Linked DNA regions of Saccharomyces cerevisiae S288C. The gene in region 1 interacts genetically with each later gene. Each region holds a gene or a part of one and is shown in the gene's direction. Other genes may lie near its edges.

What was found. Genes that interact genetically often act in the same process or in processes that back each other up.
Region 2: mutations in FCF1 (region 1) and NOP6 together harm fitness more than expected from each alone (negative genetic interaction), as found in Saccharomyces cerevisiae (2 studies listed by BioGRID).

The regions. Positions count from the first base shown.
Region 1 is NC_001136.10:1,148,507-1,152,415, reverse strand, and holds FCF1 (rRNA-processing protein FCF1), read left to right. Parts: upstream 1-1,895; coding exon 1,896-2,465; downstream 2,466-3,909. Other genes in the region: YDR341C (arginine--tRNA ligase), read left to right, coding at 1-613; YDR338C (uncharacterized protein), read left to right, coding at 2,950-3,909. UniProt on the Saccharomyces cerevisiae protein: Essential protein involved in pre-rRNA processing and 40S ribosomal subunit assembly. Required for the early cleavage steps of 35S rRNA at the A(0), A(1), and A(2) sites.
Region 2 is NC_001136.10:76,317-79,625, reverse strand, and holds NOP6 (Nop6p), read left to right. Parts: upstream 1-1,659; coding exon 1,660-2,337; downstream 2,338-3,309. Other genes in the region: YDL211C (uncharacterized protein), read left to right, coding at 1-332; SHR3 (Shr3p), read right to left, coding at 568-1,200; serine/threonine protein kinase PRR2, read left to right, coding at 3,081-3,309. UniProt on the Saccharomyces cerevisiae protein: Predicted to be involved in rRNA processing.

The DNA.
Region 1 (3,909 bases):
GGTCCAAGGTATGTCAACAAGAAAAGGTACTGTTGTCTTCTTAGATAATATCTTGGAGGAAACTAAGGAAAAAATGCACGAAGTTATGAAAAAGAATGAGAACAAATACGCGCAAATTGAGCATCCAGAAGAAGTTGCCGATTTAGTTGGTATCTCTGCCGTCATGATTCAAGATATGCAAGGTAAGCGTATCAACAACTACGAGTTTAAATGGGAAAGAATGCTTTCATTCGAAGGTGACACTGGTCCATACCTTCAATATGCTCACTCAAGGTTAAGATCAGTTGAAAGAAATGCTTCTGGTATCACCCAAGAAAAATGGATAAATGCCGATTTTTCGTTATTAAAAGAACCTGCCGCAAAACTGTTGATTAGACTGCTAGGCCAATACCCCGATGTTTTGAGAAATGCAATCAAAACCCACGAGCCAACAACCGTGGTCACATATTTATTCAAATTGACTCACCAGGTTTCTTCTTGTTATGACGTCTTATGGGTTGCTGGTCAAACTGAAGAATTAGCAACTGCCCGTCTGGCTCTATATGGTGCTGCAAGACAAGTTTTATACAACGGTATGCGCTTGTTAGGTTTAACTCCCGTAGAAAGAATGTAATAAACTTTTCCACCAAGCCATTCTTCAAATGTGTTTTATTTCTATAATTGGATATAAATTGTATAAACGGATTATTTCAATCCTTGCCATCTTTTTGTTAGGGGCCATTGTCCACATTTCATTAAATAGATCGAAAAAAAATAAGAAAACAAGATTCGTAAAGTAATCACGATTTTAACGTAGAAAAATACGGGTCAAACAGAACTTGAAAAACATCAACAAAAAGTAAGAAAAAAGTCTTCGTTGTTTCTATTGGAAAAAGAATTAACTGTCATCTATCAACCAAGTTATCAAATTTAATGGAATCTGAAATATAAAGATTGATAATGTGATAGGGTAATGAAAACCATAAAAAACAAAAGGAGAAATAATCGTAATATTATAATGTAGAAATACCGATTTTCTTTACAATGGAATCCCAACAATTATCAAATTGAGAATTGGGTGAATTTTGAGATAATTGTTGGGATTCCATTGTCGATAAAGGCTATAATATTAGGTATACAGAATATACTAGAAATTCTCCTCGAGGATATAGGAATCCCAAAATGGAATCTATATTTCTATACACTAATATTACGATTATTCCTCATTCCGTTTTATATGTTTCATTATCCTATTACATTATCAATCCTTGCACTTCAGCTTCCCCTAACTTCGATGACAGCTTCTCATAACTTATGTCATAATCTAACACCGTATATGATAGTATATTGATACTATAACTATTAGTTGACAGACGATAGTGAATTTTTATTCCAACACTTCTTTCCATGATTTTATTCCTAATCAAGAAAATATAGATTTTCACCATAGTAATGATATAGAAAACTAGAAACACTTTCACTTCAAAGTGTTTCAGTCCCAGTGGCCGAGTGGTTAAGGCGATGCCTGCTATTTCCTCAGAAAAGCAATTAGGCATTGGGTTTTACCTGCGCAGGTTCGAATCCTGTCTGTGACGCACTTTATTTTTTCTACATCCACTATTTTAAAGCTTGATTTTTTTGATTGTGAGCCACCTTCATGTACCTATCGTTTGTGGACTATTGCCATTAATTGCTTATTCACTTGCAATGATTTTATAAACATTACTCAAACTATCGGTTCCTACTGGAAGATATAACAAAAAAATTTGGCATATTTCTAAAGGTATCATTATGAACGGCTAAAATTTTTCAGCTTGCTACTATTCTTGAATGATGCCTCTTTAAACATTACTGTGCATTAACACACAATAACAGTGACTTGTAACGGAAATATCGATATACTACAACAGTTAATTATGGGTAAAGCTAAGAAAACAAGAAAGTTTGGCCTCGTAAAAAGAACTTTGAACACCAAGAAAGACCAAAGATTGAAGAAAAACCAGGAAAATATCAAAACTAAAGAAGACCCTGAGCTAACCAGGAATATACCACAAGTATCAAGTGCACTTTTCTTTCAATACAATCAAGCTATAAAGCCACCTTATCAAGTACTGATAGATACCAATTTTATAAATTTTTCTATCCAGAAAAAAGTCGATATTGTTAGAGGAATGATGGACTGTCTACTCGCAAAATGTAACCCGTTAATCACAGATTGTGTGATGGCAGAGTTAGAAAAATTGGGCCCCAAGTACCGTATCGCCTTGAAACTGGCTCGAGATCCTAGAATAAAGAGACTAAGCTGTTCGCACAAGGGTACGTACGCGGATGACTGTTTAGTGCATCGAGTCTTACAACATAAGTGTTACATCGTAGCTACAAACGATGCCGGCCTGAAACAAAGAATTAGAAAAATCCCTGGAATTCCTTTGATGAGCGTAGGCGGTCACGCATACGTCATTGAAAAATTGCCAGATGTCTTTTAAACTACTGTGTATTCACTCTTTAAGTATGTAGTGCAATGTTTTTGGTTTATATGTATATTAATTTCATAACAACAAGTTCATGGTTTGCCCGTATTGGAGCATGTTTTCAGATGAACTGAAATGCCTAAGGATATTTCTATTTCTTTTCAAGACCATTTACTCAATAATTGCTCTAAAGAAACGCAAATGCAAGGAGAAAAAAGAGGGCGTTTGAGACGCGACCAGTAACAGTTATAAACGGTAACCATTTGGCATCTTTTCATAATATCACTGTCAGCTATTATCCTCTTCCATGGGTTCCACGCGATGCAGAATATTTCTTAAGGAAGTTTTCATCTTCGCGCAAGCAAGGGACAAAACTTGATTGTATTTTTACATAAGCAAGCATATTTGATGCTGAAGAAGTATTATTATAAAAACTAAACATTGGAAAATACACATATAGCATACCTTAATATATACGGATAAAAAAAAGGTTGAAAAAATGGCTGGAATTTTGTCAAAGACTCTTTCAGAAGTGCATCCTTCCCTCCGAACAAATGGTATGGGTATCGGTAACACTCACAGGAGGATATCGCTAGGCTTCCTACCTCCCAACAAGAAGAATCCTCTGGTACGAAAATTTCGTGCAAGAACGAGAAATATTGATCAGAGGAGTTTCAGATCTTTAACAGATGATTTTGGAAGTAACGTCCATGAACCAAATCCGTACTTAGGTAATATTGATGAGGAACCTGACCTTTACTATCATGATGAAGAAGATGGCGAACTGAGCAGAACGATTTCTCTACCATCAAGGGTATCAGAAACTCCTGAGCTTTCGCCACAAGATGTTGATTGGATTCTACATGAACATGAACGACGATACTCATCGGTATGCAACTCTGATAATGAGGAAGCAAGTCAAAGCAACACACCAGATAGAATACAAGAATATTCTGGAAGAGAACTAGAATATGACGAATTTATGAATAGACTCCAAGCTCAGAAACAGAAATTAACTCGAAGTGCGGTAACAGACGCTAAAGGCACCTCACATCACAGAAGACCATCATTCGTATCTGTGACTAGCCGAGGCTCAGTTCCCACAATTTACCAAGAGATCGACGAGAACGATTCTGAGGCACTAGCAGAATTGGCTCACAGCCACGTCACCTTCAAATCAGAAGCAAGAGTTTTGGCATCTTATTCCTTCCCTCTAATTTTCACATTCTTATTGGAACAGATTTTCCCTATGGTATGTTCATTAACTGTGGGCCACTTAGGCAAAAATGAACTAGCAGCTGTGTCCTTAGCATCCATGACTTCTAATATAACACTAGCGATATTCGAGGGTATTGCCACTAGTCTAGATACTCTATGCCCTCAAGCGTATGGCTCTGGGAGATTCTACAGTGTAGGAGTTCACCTTCAACGTTGCATTGCTTTTTCATTGGTCATATAT
Region 2 (3,309 bases), 1.1 Mb from region 1:
GCAAGAGGGTAAGTTGTGATGAGGTAACAGAAACAGAAGCACCGTCAAATCCGTTCCTAAATGTCCTTAATTATAAAGTAACAACCAACGGCGAGGGCAAACGAGATTCCTTTGAAAATGGTAGAGATTTACACAGAGCTAGTTCCTCAGACGGTATATATATAGCACATCCTTATTATGGGATGGCGGATCACGAATCCGGGAGATTTTCATACGTATCGTCATACAATGAATCTGCGGAGTCATCCATTGAAGAAACAAGTTCCAGTGCGTCTACTATTACTCGGCCAAATATTCAGCAAACCAATAGCTTTTTGAGAGAAATTATTTAAAAATAGAAAAAAGTGGATTCCAAGATTTTCGTACTTCTAAACAAGGCTGGTACTTGTTGCTATTTCTTTGGAATTATTTGTAAATTTATGCACGAAGCAGATAGAGTTTTATTTATTCAACAGTATTTATATAATAAATATTGATCTTACTATACAACTAGATTCGTATAATCGTCTGTTTCGTCACAGACGGGAAAAGAGGGACAAAAAGAGAAAATGTTAAAAATATTATGGCCTATTTTTTGGCGTTCTTCCTCTTTTGAGCACCTTTAGATTTGTTATCATTCTTTTTCGCATTGTCAACTTTCTCAGTCTTTTTACCGGCATTGGCAGCTTCTCTTTCTTCTTGAGCATAAAACTCCTTTAATCTTTTTTGCAAATCCCAGTTACTGTACCACAAACCAATTTGTAGGATGATAACACCGGCAAACATAACTAATAAAATTATGTTGGAGGAAGCAATAACTGCCAAACCCTGATTTTCCGTAACTTCTCCCCAATTATGGCTCACAGAACAGTCGATACCTGTTTTCACATTAGTGAGAAACACACAGATAGCCAACACGTACAACCCCAATGAACAATACTCAAACATCTGCAGTTCAGGGTTTGGCTTGAAAACCTTAATTGTACCACCAACTAAGCCAATACCGGCAACAACGCACAAAGTAACAATCACCGGCAATGGAGTCTCATGTAAAATTTGGTAATGTCTCAGTGCCAAATCGAAATGCTCTTGAGTAGAGTTAGGATTAAATAAAAGATGATAATCGTATGGCATGTTACTGAAGAAAACACCCATTAGGAACGTTGTGGCCGATAAGATCATGGCCGTACCGATAGAACAGAAATCTGAATATGAGAACATCGTTAGAGTTTTATCGTATCACGGGATTTTATGCTCTGTAGTCCAATGAATTTACGGCTGTCTTCCAAAATACTTAAATCTGTCCTTTCATCAACTTTTTATATTTTTCAGAGTTTTTACACAACCCGAAAAAATTGTTATCGTGTATTAATTTTAGTACATTATAAAAAAAGATGGAGAGGGAAAGAGCCACCAATTACATTGGCGAAAGGTGATGGTGTAAAGTAACGGCAACCAAAAACAATTATGGATGGAAAACTTGGTATGAGAGTACTATTATTACGAACTCCACATTAACTCGATTCACCAAGTCCTTTCCCCATACGTTTACCCGGCATTCCTGAAAATTTTCTAAGATTTTTTTCTTCTTAATCGATGAGCTTAAAAGGTTTTCTGAGAAAATGAGAAAGTAATCTAATGTAGAGGACAGGATAGAGATTGAAGACGTCTACAGCTAAAATGGGGTCCGAGGAAGATAAAAAGTTGACCAAGAAGCAGCTCAAAGCTCAGCAGTTTAGAAAAAGTAAGGAGGAAAAAGATCAAGAGAAAGACGTAAAAAAAGAGCAAGCACCAGAAGGAAAAAGACCCAACAGTGCAGCCGGAAATGATGGTGAAGAACCCGTGAAGAAAAAAAGAAAAACACGTAGAGGCCGTGGTGGTAAGGGCAAAAATGGTAAAAAGGGCAACAGATTTATTGTCTTTGTCGGTAGCTTACCTAGAGACATCACTGCTGTTGAATTGCAAAACCATTTTAAAAATAGTTCACCCGACCAGATCCGCCTCAGAGCTGACAAAGGTATTGCATTTTTGGAATTCGATGCTGACAAAGATCGCACCGGCATTCAAAGACGTATGGACATTGCCTTATTACAACATGGGACCTTACTGAAAGAGAAGAAGATCAATGTCGAGCTAACTGTTGGCGGAGGTGGTAACAGTCAAGAGCGTCTAGAAAAATTGAAAAACAAAAACATCAAGTTGGATGAAGAACGTAAAGAGAGGTTGACAAAGATGATTAACGACGGCAACCAAAAGAAAATCGCCAAAACTACCGCCACTGCAGCTCAAACCTCTGGAACAGACAACAAGCCTGTTCCTGCAGGAATTCATCCTGATAGAGCCAAACTACTTAAATGAGTACAAATTTAATTTTATACGCCATGTATCTTAGACAAAAAGAAAATAAAGGGAAAAACATAAATAATCGTGCAGAATCATGCTACTGCCAAAAAAAGAAATGGCAAAGATGCCCAATACGTAAACTCTTCCGGAAGCAATAGCGCCGCATTATTACCGCTGCTCTATTTCACTTTATCATGAAAGACGAGACGGCTGGTACTTTTTTTTCCCCAAATCGGAGCTACTTTTCCGCACTTCAAGTCCGGTGGGAATTTTTACTACTACCCCTTAATCAATGCACTCCCCCCGCAATGACGTACAGGGGTAACATGTCTAACATTTAAGGTTACGGCTGTTAGCATATTGGGGGTTATTTGAATTATAGGAACGCCAAGAAAAAGGACAGAGGGTAAAAACATTCTCGGTGCTGCCGGATTGCTTATTAAGACGTATCCGTTAAACAATCTCCGCTTTTTTTTTTGTCTAACAGCCGGCTCTCTTTGGCTAGTCTCCATCCCTTCGTCACCTTCGGCTGTGGTCACACAATAAGGAAAGGTGCAAAAAAAAAAAATAAATACGAAAATCTGGAAATTGAATTCTTTTCATTAACATTCATTCACTCACTGAACTTATTGTCAATCGGAACATATTTCCTTGCCTTTATGAATTTTTGAAAAGAAAAAAGTTAATAGGAAAAACTAGATAGATTGCAAAAACGTTCACAATAGCGTACGTAATCCTTTTACTTATCATACGGAGTGATGTCGTTGTCTAGAATCCTGCGATATAATCAGAGAAATAACAAAACTACAGCTTCCTTGACTGCAGAACACGCCTATTCCGATAATTGGGCATATTCCGTCTCGTTAGGCGATCCCACTAGTGTTGGTGTGAATATGGCTGCTAAGACGGGTGAGGCGCTAAATAAATCATATGATTCCGTTTTTTCTTCTCTCCCTGTTGCAGATAGTGTACCTCGGACAGACTTTA